Kluyveromyces lactis: one gene and its partners. The protein of the gene in region 1 interacts with the protein of each later gene in a pairwise test. Links are inferred from orthologs where the notes say so. Each region holds a gene or a part of one and is shown in the gene's direction. Other genes may lie near its edges.

Evidence for each region.
Region 2: the proteins of SHO1 (region 1) and LAS17 interact in binary tests that used the Saccharomyces cerevisiae proteins (3 or more experiments, as listed by UniProt). The link is inferred for Kluyveromyces lactis from reciprocal best matches to the Saccharomyces cerevisiae genes SHO1 and LAS17.
Region 3: the proteins of SHO1 (region 1) and KLLA0_E00529g interact in a protein complementation assay, tested with the Saccharomyces cerevisiae proteins (2 studies listed by BioGRID). The link is inferred for Kluyveromyces lactis from reciprocal best matches to the Saccharomyces cerevisiae genes SHO1 and YBT1.
Region 4: the proteins of SHO1 (region 1) and TUS1 interact in binary tests that used the Saccharomyces cerevisiae proteins (3 or more experiments, as listed by UniProt). The link is inferred for Kluyveromyces lactis from reciprocal best matches to the Saccharomyces cerevisiae genes SHO1 and TUS1.

What each region holds. Positions count from the first base shown.
Region 1 is NC_006041.1:628,413-631,363, forward strand, and holds SHO1 (osmosensor SHO1), read left to right. Parts: upstream 1-1,364; coding exon 1,365-2,438; downstream 2,439-2,951. Other genes in the region: AVT5 (amino acid transporter), read left to right, coding at 1-1,041; DNA-binding protein kinase TEL1, read right to left, coding at 2,742-2,951. UniProt on the Saccharomyces cerevisiae protein: Plasma membrane osmosensor that activates the high osmolarity glycerol (HOG) MAPK signaling pathway in response to high osmolarity.
Region 2 is NC_006039.1:433,447-437,190, forward strand, and holds LAS17 (actin-binding protein LAS17), read left to right. Parts: upstream 1-1,273; coding exon 1,274-3,235; downstream 3,236-3,744. Other genes in the region: KLLA0_C04752g (uncharacterized protein), read left to right, coding at 82-486; KLLA0_C04796g (uncharacterized protein), read right to left, coding at 3,361-3,744.
Region 3 is NC_006041.1:41,317-45,329, reverse strand, and holds the start of KLLA0_E00529g (uncharacterized protein), read left to right. Parts: upstream 1-1,204; coding exon 1,205-4,013. UniProt on the Saccharomyces cerevisiae protein: Vacuolar class C ABC transporter which regulates the translocation of phosphatidylcholine to the vacuole lumen, the release of lumenal calcium stores, and acts as a negative regulator of vacuole fusion. Exhibits ATP-dependent bile acid transport.
Region 4 is NC_006040.1:221,445-225,710, reverse strand, and holds the start of TUS1 (Rho family guanine nucleotide exchange factor TUS1), read left to right. Parts: upstream 1-1,457; coding exon 1,458-4,266. Other genes in the region: CYB2 (L-lactate dehydrogenase (cytochrome)), read left to right, coding at 1-229. UniProt on the Saccharomyces cerevisiae protein: Guanine nucleotide-exchange factor (GEF) for RHO1 that stimulates the exchange of RHO1 GDP-bound form into GTP-bound form. Required for signaling of cell wall defects to RHO1.

The sequences.
Region 1 (2,951 bases):
TCCACGTTTACAACCCATGGGTGGCTCTTATCACGCCAGTTTCACATCACTGCAGTTACGTTGATCATCGTGACACCGTTGTGTTTCATTAAGAAGTTAGACTCTTTAAGGTACACTTCTTCCATTGCAATTACAGCAGTTGGGTACTTATGCGTATTAGTTGTCTTCCATTTTGCCGTTCCAAATAGCGAAATCGACCATTTAAGAGGCCATGTTAGCATCTGGAAACCCAGTGATGTGGATTCATCCATGCTAAGCAGTTTTCCAATTTTCGTTTTCGCGTATACTTGCCATCACAACATGTTTTCCATCATCAATGAACAATCAGACAAATCTTTAGACAGTATAACGAAATTGATTAGGATTGCCATTACGCTAGCAATGTCTTTGTACATTTCCATTGGAGCGCTAGGTTATTGCACCTTCGGTGATCATATTACTGGTAACATTATCACCTTATACCCAAACTCCATTTCCAGCACCATCGGTAGAATAGCTATAGCATTGTTAGTGATCCTTGCCTTCCCGCTACAATGTCATCCAGCTAGAGCATCTGTCAATCATATCTTACATTACTTCTCCAAGGGGAACACCCATCCCCCAATGACAACCACAAGTGCAGAACAAAACAGTCTATTACGGGACTCTGAACTCGAATCTAGCGAACAGTTAACCTACGAATGCGAAGACGAATTAATTGAAGAAAACAGCGCTAATCAGCCTCCAGTAGTAACGTTAGAAGGCCCTAGATTCATCTTTATCACGTCTGGAATCCTATTATTTTCGTACATCCTCGCTATGAGTGTTACGTCGCTAGCAAACGTTTTGTCAATAGTAGGAGCAACCGGATCCACTTCTATATCCTTCATCTTACCTGGAATATTTGGCTACAAGTTAATCGCATCGGAGTACGCCAAATCCGTTGTACCACCAGCAAAAGAACGAATCTTGAGAATTATCTCATTGTTACTTGCTATTTGGGGATTCATCGTCATGATAACTTCACTAAGTGCTACCATATTTCTACATGCGACACATTGAGGGTACAGGATAAACAGGGTACTAGAGACTAACCATTGATACTGCTACCAATTGTACTCCCGATTGACACTCTAAATAAGCGGCCCGCGTATTCCTAGCGAGCCTTTGGTTGCTGCCTGTCACATGATCAAAAAATAACTCATCTCTCATTGTAGACAGACACCAAAAAAAATGATAAATGTATACCGTATATACATAAATATAAAAAGTAATCAATACGAACATACTTGAACTTGAAGCAAGTTTATTTCAATTTTAGTTGTTGTGTTGTCACAAGTGTTCCAATAGTCCAGCGAGGCAAGGGAATATCTGCAAACAGAGAGATGGCGTTGATTAAAGCAAGTCAAGCCCGTGCTGTAAGGGAGAATCCGCATGTATCTCATCAATTTAACATCTCGTCATTTTTGGGCGATCCTTTTGCCATAGGCACACTTAGTATTGCATTGATCTCATGGATCATTGCATTGGCGGGATCCATTGCTGTTGCAGCATCTACGTCTCCATTCCCAAGATTTTCTTGGTGGACTATAGTTTACGAGATACTACTAATGATTACGCTTTTTATCGTGTACTGTTTGGATTTAGTTGACTACTATAGAATGTTCATTACTTGTGCTGTTGGTATCGCATTCGTATATACTTCGAATAGTACTAACAGTATTGTGTACTATGAAGGGTCCAAGAGTGGTGCAGCAGCAGCAGGATTTATCTTGTTATCCATGATCAATTTGGTGTGGGTGATTTATTTTGGTGGAGATAATGCATCTCCAACCAATAGATGGATCGATTCGTTCTCACTACGCGGAATTCGTCCTTCGGTGCTAGAGACATCCATGGCTATTGCCAGATCGCAGAGACTGCCGGTCAAACCTTCTTACCCATACCAATACCAGGAAGACTTGCGTTCAGCATCTCTGCCTGATGTCCACCACGATGACGAAGGTGAGGGCCACAGTGGCAACATGTATGCGCCAGAACTTCAATCGTCTACAAAGTATGTGTCGTCTACAGTGCTGAACGGATTTGAAAATACAGATCATTCCTCTTCGAAACCAAACCTTGATGTTAATGCGCAAAATACTGCTACACTGAATACACAGGCCACTGGCACTTTCATCACAGATACCACCAATGCCAACACAGATACTACCATGGGAGACACATTAGGCCTATACAGTGACATTGGTGAAGAATTAAACAGTTTCCCATACACTGCAGAGGCTTTATATACCTATCAAGCGGACCAAACTGACGCGTATGAAATATCCTTCGAACAGGGCGAAATTCTCAGGGTTGGTGATATCGAGGGTAGATGGTGGAAAGCCAAGAAGTCAAACGGGGAAACAGGGATTATCCCAAGTAATTACGTTAAGCTTTTGGATGGGAAATCACACTGATTTTATTACTGCCTCCCATCAGTTTGTATCATTAAACATTTGATTTGTGTATCGTCTTTTATATTATATTATTTCCACAGTTTGCAATAACAACCGGCTTATCAACCTTATTCGCGAAAAATTCAAGTGCTTTTATCAACACAGTTACTGAATTCTTCATTAACACGCAAATACTTGCTTCGAATGAATCATGCTATTTAATGAATATGCTATTATTTATAATTATACTGCTTGCAAATCGCTTCAGGTGCTGGTAGTATAATAAAGTCTTCATCTCGAGTAAGAACTTCAAACACATCAATCTTAATAAAATGGGGACCATCCCATGTAAATTGTCGCTAAATTTTGTTTGTCAGTAGCACTGGACAAAAGCTCCTGAACAATTGCTTCAACGCTCAAACCGTCTCCATATAACTTACTTTCAACTCCCTTTAGTGCTCTTATGGATTCATCATTATTATTATCTTCTTCTAAAAGCTCGCTGAAATCTGCATCGGAAACACTAATTTCCTC
Region 2 (3,744 bases), on another chromosome or scaffold:
GCACACGCACACAGGTAAGTACTGTTATGGTAGTATTAGTAATTTTTGATATCTTGTATTTCTGGTGACCAGTTTAACACAATGATTGATAGTTGCATTACTGGTACCTCATCCTGCCATTGTTGTGCCCTTTATATACCAGAAATCACAAAATATGACATCGAGCTGGACCCCAGCACTTGTTTCAAACATTCCAAAGCATGTAAACAAACACACCACAGAAAGCATTCTCAAACACTTGCTCCTGCTCACTGTTTATGTTTACTCTGTTTCGTTTCGTTTTGTTTCGCAACATCCAAAAGCTGTTCCTGTAATATGCTAAAACATAATTTCGTGTCAAAAAAGTGCCTAGGAAAAAGAATTCTTTTTGGAAGAGTTTTACGCTGGACTAAAGAGAAGAAAGCATTTACGTTTAACGTAACTGTAAACAAGACACAAAATGTAAACCCAATCACGCCGCCTGTTGTAAACTATTTCACATCATAAGCACGCAATCCAAACACCGTCCACCTGCAAAAAAAAACCATCTTTCGATGTTTCTCCCTCTGATCTCTTCGAGCATGTAGCTGTTGTTTACCTTTTGAATACCGCATGCTGGTTGCCAAAAAAACCCAGCATAAAGCGATCAACACGTACAAAGTGATTCTGACTTTTGTCAGATGCTGCAGTGCCAGACGGTTCCTGGGTCAGGACAGAAATTCTTCTGCCATTGTGCCGCTGTAACCACGTCCACATGCGTCGGCCAGATGTATCAGTAAACAGAACTCTTAATTTTTCTCCGTATTATGTTCGAATGCGTGTTCGTACTGAAATGCTTCTTGTCTTTCCTGTACCTTGCAGTGACCTAAATGGGCACACTGTATTCCCATTTACAAATGGTCTGTTAGTACTTTTGAATTCAATATGGCAACTTGAACAAACCCCATTGTGTAAAGGTCCTTTTTTTTTTATCTCTCTCGCAGTTCTGTTGGTCCCTTCTTCTTTCACTGAATCACTCTGTGAATTATAGGGGAATAATGCCGTATTAAGAATCGCTTCAACTTTCAATATTGAAAAATTGAAAAGTTGCGAAATGTTAAACAGACCGAAAACTTAAGAACCGTAAATTATAGTCAGCCAAACCCCCCCACTCCCTAAAGTGCATCGCGCGTTTGTGTTATTTTCATTAGAACCCATCGGTAGCTGCCTCCGTCAAGAATTGATTTCAAGTTGAACGAGTTTACACTTCTTTTGAGAAATTAATAATCATAAAGCAGTTGTTTCCGAGTATACTATGGGAGGCTTGAATTCTGCTGAGAAAGAAAAGGTTAAACATGCTTTGCCCAAGGCTTCTAACAAGATTATAGATGTTACTATCGCTAGGTTATACATTGCATACCCTAATCCAGAGAAATGGGTTTATACTGGCTTATCTGGTGCCATTGCATTGGTGGACGATATCGTTGGTAATACTTTCTTTTTGAAGTTGATCGACGTGCATGGGCATCGAGGTGTTCTCTGGGATCAAGAATTGTACGTGAACTTTCAATATAACCAGGATCGTACTTTCTTTCATACCTTTGAATTAGAACAATGTAACGCCGGGTTGTTATTCACCGATATTGGCGATGCTTCACATTTTTTGAAACGAGTACAGAAACGGGAGAAATACGCGTCCAAGAAGACCTTGGCCAACAAGAATGCAATTGCATTAGAGGACCAAATTAAGAAAGAGGAAGAGAGTAAAGTGATCCATGGTCCAAGAGGCGAATCCTTGATCAGTGACCAAAGGGTCAGATATAGATATGAACCGGAAAAGCACGAGCACCGCCAGGAACACCATTACGAGCAGCCCAGCCAGAATTATGCTTCAACTGAAAACTCAGCTTCAGATGCAAGTGCCGCTCCTCCTTCTTTTGCCTCGAAACCACCGCCACCGCCTGTCGAGAAACAACCTCCTCCTCCTGTGAGCATCCCATCTTATAAGTACGACTCTATTCCATCATTCCCAAGCTCTCCTGCACCTCCATCGGTTTCCTCTACTCATTCTCCTACCCCGGATTCATCCTATGCATCAACACCAGCACCAAGTAATCCTCCTCCACCAATAAACCACCCGGTACATGCAGTTCCTCCTCCTTTACCAGCAGAACAATATCGTCCACTGGCTCAGTCACCTCATCCGCAATTCCAGCAGCAGCATAATTCTCCTTCACCTGCAGCACCTCCTTCGATTCCGCCTATGCAGCAAAGCGTTGCAATCCCTCCTCCACCTTCCCATCCAGCTCAACAACAAAACGTCACTAATAACAACACTCCTCAGTTTGGACAATATTCTGTTGCTGGTCTGCAACCACCTCCGAGACCAACTTCAACGAGACCTGGTATTGCTCCTCCAGTTTCGAGGCGTGGTCCGGTACCACCTCCCCCTCCAAGACGCTCAGCTGCTCCGCCGTCCATTCCTTCAAGAGGTCCTCTACCTAATGCTCCAACTGGCGGTCAGCATAGTCGTACTGGAAGAGGGCCTCCACCACCACCACCACCTAGACGTGGTGGCCAGGCTCCTTCTCCACCTGCAAGCAGAGGTACAACTCATAACTCAGCCATCGGCCCTCCCCAGCCCCAGCTTCCACCACAAATGCAATCTCCTCCTCTTCAACAGCATAATACCTACAATGCAGCGCCTCCTGTTCAGCAATATCAACCACCACAGCAAACCGCATACATTCCGCCTCCCCCTGTCTTACCACCCCACTCAGGTGTAAGCACTCAGTATCACCCATCGACCGAGCCTATGTTAGCCCAACCCCAGCATCATATAGCGGTACCTAATGGCACTGCACCTCCCCCAGCACCTCCTGCCCCTCCGGCACCTTTTGCTCCACAGATAACGAACTCAGCGCCCGCACCACCACCACCTCCTCCTCCTCCTCCAGCCCCTGCATTTAATCAACCTGAAGCAGGATCTGGTTTTGTTGAAAATACTGGTGATGCTGGAAGGGATGCCTTATTAGCATCGATTCGTGGAGCTGGTCTGAATTCCCTCCGTAAGGTGGATAAATCTCAACTTGAAAAGCCAAGTCCTTTGTTACAAGAAGTTCGTAGTGATGCGCCGGTATCTCAACCCACAGGCGGGTCAACTGGCGGACCTGTTGGTGCTCCTGCGTCCTTGGCTGATGCCCTAGCTGCGGCTTTAAACCAAAGAAAGAATAAAGTTGCTCGTGACGATGATATAGACAACGGTGATGATTGGTGAAAGTAATTCACCCTACTTGAACTGCATCTGACTAGACTGTGGAATTATGATTTGGTATTTGTATGTACGGTGTACCTATATATTACTTTCAGATGCCTTTAAAACAGAAGACAGATAAAACTAAACTAATTATTCAAAGAACTCCACTTATTTGACCATACCTGTATCCATTTCAACTTGGACTCATCTGAACCGTTTAGCTGTGTAATAATTTTTATAACTTTCTTAACATCATTATTGATAGCAAGTACTGATGTTTCCACTTCTGGATCTACTTCATATTCAGCGTTCACTAAGGTGGATGAAATTAAAGTATCAGAGTTAGAAACTATTGAATTGTGGAGTTGATTTAGCTCAGATAGATATGCTGCTGTAGTTACAGTATCCTTTTTTATGGTTATCGATTTGGATAATGAACTCAACAAGAGCTTAAGGAGACGAGATTTTTGCGATAGTGATTTGACAAATTCAATCATGGATTCTGAAGCTTCCTCTTCCTCTTCTTCATC
Region 3 (4,013 bases), about 590 kb from region 1:
GTCTATTGGAATCACGGAACGATTAAGAAGTTGCCACGATAATACGGAAACTAGACTATATAACAAACTGAACAACCCAGTTCGCAGAAGTCGCTTTTTATAAACTGAGAGGTAAATGAGCTGCTATTTAATTAAAATCTTGGCTCTCACCGTTCACAATTAAGATCGTCTCAGTATATCGATGGTTCGGAAATATACCTGACTTTTTATTGTTCTACTAGAAGCTGTGAAATTCCTTCTTAGTTTTCCTCCCTTTTTAAGGTTATCCATTTCAATACCCAGTTTGACACTTTTTTTCTACTCTCACTAGAGGGCCTTCTATGTCAACGCAAGTACCGCGTACACGTAGTCCATACAAAATGAGATGGACAAGAATCGCTGCGCAGTTTTTACATATATCCACCTGATACTGATTAGTAAAATGTATAACATGCAATCCGTGCGGCCTTTCTACTTATATAAGAAATTAATTTCTCTTTCCTAAGTATATGCGAATTTAGAGTAGTACAACTAGAATGGGTACATAATTGCTATCTTTTTATAGGAAATCTCGAAAATAATGACACACATGGACTTGCTGTCAACAATACAACCAACATATTAGTTTGTAACGCATCCAACTTGTATTTTTATCTATTTAAGCTCATTACACTGAAAATGCAGTAGTGGGCATTCAAAAATAACAGAGCCAGAAAAATGAAAAAATTACAGCCGGACATGATAGTCAAATACAGGTCATCTGGCATATTTCTTGGTATAATATATAAATACTGTATAAAAAGAACAAGGACAGAGTTTTTGAAAATTTTGAGAATTAAAGGACGTTCAACTCAATCGTATTTAAACGGCAAGGGGGTAACACGAAGAACTTACTTGAGCAAACATAAGCAGCTCTGTTGCACTGTTCGGTTGAAAGATTATCATTTTTGCTGTAATACTAAGAGCTTTTAATAACCGCTTTAGAGATAACTTTTTTGAGTGTAGTACGCATAAAATTGTTTTTGTGATTGAAATTCTTCTATTCTTTCATTTCACTAGTTACCTCAGCTCACTTCGTTCCATACAGCACCATAAGAATATCTTATTTTATTCGTGGGCAAGTACGAGCATTTATCCTACCCTCTTTGGTATACCTACCTTGTTGATTCCTGACAAGCAAGTACTTTCTCTTGATTGTTTTGAATACTATAAAGCGGCTAAAATAATGTCAGGTTCAAATTCGAATTCAAATCTAGATGCAATAAGTGATTCATGCCCATTTTGGCGCTATGATGATATTACAGAGTGTGGAAGAGTGCAGTATATCAATTACTACCTTCCAATAACATTGGTAGGCGTTTCTCTCTTGTATTTATTCAAAAACGCGATCCAACATTATTACAGAAAGCCTCAAGAAATTAAGCCTAGTGTTGCTTCCGAATTATTGGGCTCAAATCTCACAGACCTTCCGAATGAAAACAAGCCTTTACTATCGGAGAGTACACAAGCATTATACACTAATCCGGATTCGAATAAGACAGGATTCTCTCTAAAAGAGGAGCATTTCTCTATAAATAAAGTTACACTTACGGAAATTCATTCCAATAAGCATGACGCTGTGAAGATCGTAAGGAGAAACTGGCTTGAAAAATTAAGAGTGTTCTTAGAATGGGTTCTATGCGCCTTACAACTTTGCATCTACATTTCAGTCTGGTCGAAATACACTAATACCCAAGAGGATTTCCCAATGCACGCATCTATCTCAGGTCTAATGTTATGGTCTCTACTCTTGTTAGTAGTGTCATTGAGGTTGGCAAACATCAACCAGAATATAAGCTGGATCAATTCAGGACCGGGAAACTTATGGGCCCTTTCATTTGCATGTTATCTATCACTATTCTGCGGATCCGTTTTGCCATTGAGATCTATCTATATCGGTCATATCACAGATGAAATTGCATCAACATTTTATAAGTTGCAATTTTACCTAAGTTTGACACTATTCTTGTTACTTTTCACCTCTCAAGCGGGAAATCGGTTTGCCATTATCTATAAAAGTACACCAGATATAACACCGTCTCCTGAACCTATTGTGTCGATTGCAAGTTATATCACTTGGGCATGGGTAGATAAATTTCTTTGGAAAGCGCATCAAAATTATATCGAAATGAAAGATGTTTGGGGTCTAATGGTGGAAGACTATTCCATTCTCGTAATAAAGAGATTCAATCATTTTGTTCAGAATAAAACCAAGTCTAGGACATTTTCATTTAACTTAATCCACTTTTTCATGAAATTTATCGCCATTCAAGGTGCCTGGGCAACAATTTCGTCAGTTATTAGTTTTGTTCCAACAATGTTGCTCAGACGTATTTTGGAGTATGTTGAAGATCAATCAACTGCTCCATTAAATTTGGCTTGGATGTATATTTTTCTTATGTTCCTTGCCAGAATTTTAACTGCCATATGTGCTGCTCAGGCGCTATTTTTAGGGAGAAGGGTTTGTATCAGAATGAAGGCTATCATAATTTCTGAAATCTACTCCAAGGCTTTGAGAAGAAAAATTTCTCCAAATTCCACTAAGGAGCCAACTGATGTCGTTGATCCACAGGAATTAAATGACAAACAACACGTTGATGGAGATGAAGAATCAGCAACCACTGCAAATCTTGGTGCTATCATTAATTTGATGGCGGTGGATGCTTTCAAAGTATCCGAAATATGTGCGTATTTGCACTCCTTTATAGAGGCGATCATCATGACCATTGTTGCATTATTCCTTTTATATCGGTTAATAGGCTGGTCTGCTTTAGTTGGTAGTGCAATGATTATTTGCTTCTTACCATTGAACTTCAAACTTGCCAGCTTGTTAGGGACACTCCAAAAGAAATCCTTGGCAATCACAGATAAAAGAATTCAGAAACTAAACGAAGCTTTCCAGGCCATTCGTATTATCAAATTCTTCTCTTGGGAAGAGAATTTTGAAAAGGACATACAAAACACAAGGGATGAAGAATTAAATATGCTTTTAAAAAGGTCTATCGTTTGGGCTCTTTCTTCTCTTGTTTGGTTCATTACCCCCTCTATTGTCACATCCGCTTCTTTTGCAGTCTATATTTATGTGCAAGGCCAAACTTTAACTACTCCGGTAGCATTTACTGCACTATCTCTATTTGCTCTACTAAGAAATCCGTTAGACATGCTTTCTGATATGTTGTCTTTTGTTATTCAATCCAAGGTCTCTTTGGATAGAGTCCAAGAATTTTTAAATGAAGAGGAGACGAAAAAGTATGAGCAATTAACCGTATCAAGAAATAAACTTGGGTTGCAAAACGCTACTTTTACATGGGATAAAAATAATCAAGATTTCAAGTTAAAAAACCTAACTATTGATTTCAAAATTGGGAAATTAAACGTTATTGTAGGTCCAACTGGATCTGGTAAAACATCATTGTTAATGGGATTATTGGGTGAAATGGAGCTATTGAACGGAAAAGTTTTCGTCCCTTCGCTCAATCCTAGGGAAGAGTTGGTTGTAGAGGCCGATGGAATGACTAATTCAATCGCGTACTGCTCCCAAGCTGCCTGGTTGCTAAATGATACTGTCAGGAACAATATTCTATTCAATGCGCCTTATAATGAGAATAGATATAATGCCGTCATCTCTGCGTGTGGTTTGAAACGCGACTTCGAGATCTTAAGCGCTGGTGATCAGACAGAGATTGGCGAAAAGGGTATAACACTTTCTGGTGGTCAAAAACAAAGAGTCTCGTTGGCCAGATCATTGTATTCTTCATCAAGACATTTGCTGTTAGATGATTGTTTGAGTGCCGTAGACTCGCACACGGCCTTATGGATCTACGAAAATTGTATAACAGGCCCATTAATGGAAGGAAGAACATGTGTATTGGTTTCTCACAATGTTGCATTAACTTTAAAAAATGCAGATTGGGTTATCATTATGGAAAATGGTAGAGTAAAAGAACAAGGCGAACCAGTAGAATTGCTACAGAAGGGGTCCCTTGGGGATGACT
Region 4 (4,266 bases), on another chromosome or scaffold:
ATACTCTAACAGTTGCTACGGTAAAGAAGGTGTCAAGAAAGCCATTGAGCTATTAAAGGACGAATTGGAAATGTCGATGAGATTACTCGGTGTCACAAGTATAGACCAATTATCCGAAAAATACCTAGATCTATCTACAATCCATGGTAGAACTGTCAATGTTCCTCGCGATAACCTATACCGTGAGGTATATGTCCCACATGAACCAACTCAATTCTTAGAGGAATGAAAAGAGCAATCTCACTTTTGCCATTCGAACCCATAAAGACTCATATTATTTAATGAACGTTTCTTTAATGATAATTTATAAATGAATATTCCAACATATATTATATAAACTAAATCGCGCCAGAATAGATAAAACAAATATCACGCAGGTATTTACGAAAAAGTAAAACAATGTCCACTTATTTATTACGATTGGCGAATCAATACGCAGTTATACAATTCCCGTTGACATTCAATTCAAATTACGACGATACACAACAATAAATCAATTTCAGTCATGTTTAGAGTCCTATTTCAAACCGCAGGAATTGTTTTAATTTGTTATTTTAGTTTGATAATACATATATCCAAAAACCACATACAAGATATTCCTTGCAGATATTGATACATATTTTGTGTGTAGAATATGATTCGATTGCAGAAGGCATGACATCAGAATGTGCACTTTCCTTTCAAGCAGATGTCTTATGGCATCTGATATGACTCGTAGTAATCATTTCGAGAAATCACAAACTGAAAAAGCTGTCATCTTTTTGGAATGATAACCTTACTTTGTTGTAGTCAGGTACGTAGGAACTATGAGAAAAAGAAATGATTCACGTGACACAAAATTGCATCATCCTCTCTCACGCTAAGAAAGGGAGCCCCAGGTGTGCCTTCCGTTGTCCCACATTCATGTAAGCCCTTCAAACCTTCATATTAACGTCTTTCCAATAGCCTGCTCAGTAGCGTACAGTTCTGGAGATGCATTCGTCGAGAGTTCCTTCTGAGCAGTAATTATGCTTCGCAACGACGGTTTCCGGGCGAACGTTTCGGGGTTCCATCTTTTTTCGTTCAGCCGTCGACATAGGAAGTGAGAAACAATTAGAAAGGGAAACAGAAGGGAAACAAATAAGAAACAGGTAGTTAACCGTTCGAAACTGTGATGTTGCAGTTTTCTGTTTTCTTCAATTTGCTTCCCTTCCCTTTGTAATGGTAACGACAAATCGTAGGAACAACTTATTGTTATTAACAAATATAATGTTGTAGCTACTATGTAAATAGATGATGGGGTGGACAGATGAATACTTTATTGTGAAAGGCCCCAAACTGATATCTCCCACTGCGTTCGTTGCTACTCGCGTATCAATTTAGCTTATATACACGAAGCTTTCACTTTCTGGCTTTATGAATACAAGTTTACCTTTATCAAAGTATTGCAATTCATTTCAACAGTATCATTTTGAGTAATGGACAGTACACAACGATCTCCTAGATTACCGGCGTTACCGCCTTTGCAGAGTCAACAATCTACTCCCAAGAAAGTTGGGAATAATGAGAGGAGGAGGAGGCCTCCTCCTCCAATACTGACGAGCCCTGTGACTCCTACATCTGGATCATCTTTCACCGTCGTACCGTCTAGATCAAGTGAAAAGCAGCAGCCTCAGATTGACCAACAGCACCTTTATTCATCTCCTTTTGTCACAGAGGTAAGTGTGAGTGAAAAGAGGGCGCCTGCTCCGAAAGTGTATATATCGCCTTTCGTTGGTGATCCATCTGTGTTTCGGTCACCTGAAACTCTTCCAAATAGCAGTTTCAGCAATAATAGCGATAGTCCAGCTTCACAATCAGATAATAATAATTATAATAATAATAGGCTGTCTTCTTCTTCAACTTCAAGTATATTCACCAATAATGTAACGATGCCAAATATTGAGTTTGAAGGGTTCGCTAGTTCGGATTCGAAAGATATCACAATGAAAGCTCTGCCGGCACTACCCCCACGAACGTTCTCCGGCCCTATTAACGCGGCAACAAAGACTACTGCAACATCTAGTAGTACACTGCAGTTTACGGGGCCCGTTGAACACCGTTATAATGATATGGCAGTTCCAGAAACGCTCCCTGCGCTGGATGCCATTTCTCCAATATCGACAGGAAATTTCAACTGGTCCACTTCGGATAAAAGTAGTTTACAAAACACAACTTTATACTATCCACAACCTCCGAAGATGAAAGATGTTAGTAATGGAGCAATAGGGCCTAATGAACCAAGACTTTCAGACTCAATCAGTAGTTATTATTCCAATTCGAGCTACGCTTTCAATAAAAACGTGGAAGAATATGCTAGACATGAATCGTTCGGTTCAATCACTGGGAGTAAACCACTGAATAATGTGGCTAGCATTACAGTGCCAACATACCCCTTCACGATCGACCTTTTGGATGAAAGAAAACTTTACCAGTGCTACAACATTAGCCAATTGTCACACATATACCAGTGGCTCTTGAAAGTATACTTCGAATGGTTTAATGAATACGTTTTCGGTAAATTGGAATTCTTTCAAATTGTTCAATTACTGTTGGAATTCCAGCTACCAAATTCTTGCGAGCAAGATATCATTGATTCGAACGTGGACAAAATTATTGAATCGCTTATCTTACAAGGTGCTGTGCGATTCGAAGACGATCCGGAAACTGGGAACCAAATCACCATCATCATTGCGGGGCTTGATACTCAAGGGGTTTTTACGGATTTATTGCCCTGTTACTCTTATTCTCATATATATGATGATCCTACTACGGATTTGAAGTGCTATTCATACACCTGCTGGAGCTCAAAAGGATCAGAGAATTACAGGTCACAGCTTAAAATCTCAGAATTCATCAACAAGTCAGTGGGGCTATGGACCGATTACTGGAAATTGACTCCCGAAGAATTATCTGAGATTAATCCTAAGGAAGTTAAACGCCAGAGTTTCATATTTGATCTAATAGTGCTAGAGGAAAGATCATTAAACCTCGCTAATGCAGCAGTAGAGATATATGGGGCCTCTTTTGATCCGGCTCTTTTACCGGATGACCCAAATTTTAAGTCGATGGCATATGATATATTCATTCCATTGATAGAGTTACATAAGGATATTCTTTTGAGCCCTATCCTTTGGAAACTTAAAATAAAAGGTAAATTCATTGATGGAGTTGGCAAGATATATTTAAAGTGGGCAAATGATGCTAAACAGGTGTATGTGAAGTATGCGCAAAATATGGCTACTGTCCACGAAATAATCAATTGGGAAAAGGAAAATAATACCCGGTTTGCATCTTGGTTGAGGCAAATCGATGAGTCAACTCCAATAACCAGATCTAAACTTTACCACGACGTTATCTTTTTTGGTGGATTTTTCAAATCTTTACAAAATATGCCAGTAACACTCAGATCTGTATTGAAGTGTACTGATCCATCAATGGATGATCACGAATACTTACGTATGGCAATTCAAGAGATTGAACAACTATCAAGATTAGTAGATAAAGCCCATGGTGATGCGATAGATAAACGTAAGATAGTCAGACTAGCTCGTCAATTGATTTTTACATCTAAGACAGGCAACACTGTCAACTACCTTAACATACAGTCTGGTAATGATTCCGTGTCAAATTTCACTACAAACAACGAGCATCTTGATTTAAAGTTAGGGGACGGTGACAGGAAGCTAATAATGCAAGGTATATTACAGAAGAAAAGAGAACTATGGCTTGAGAGTGCCCCTGTCTATGTCTTTTTATTGGACAATTATTTTCTGATCACTGAAGAAATATTCAAAGGATCAGGGAAGAAATATAAGCTAATAGAAAGACCCATACCCATTGATTATTTGAGTGTTGAAACAAAGGAGGACATTAACTATAAAAGAAAATCATTGTCAGATGCTGATGAAGAATCTTGCAATGTCCAAACGCCGTCTACGTCAAAGAAGCCTCCACTTTTACCTGCTGGAACAACAATGAGCTCTATACCGAAGACGATATACCAAACTGCTACCAACGCTACTTTAAACAATGACGATAATGAAGAATCTTCTTATTCATTCAAGATTAGGAATACTGCGTCTAACGAATCTCATACATTTTCAACCTCAACCATGGAAGAACGAGAACACTGGGTTGCCTCGCTGGTGAAGGCATTCCAGAATCATATGGGTCACAACGAAAAACAGGCGTTTCAATTACAATGTCTCTGTGATCTGTTTTCTTACGATGAGATTCAGGCGCCTA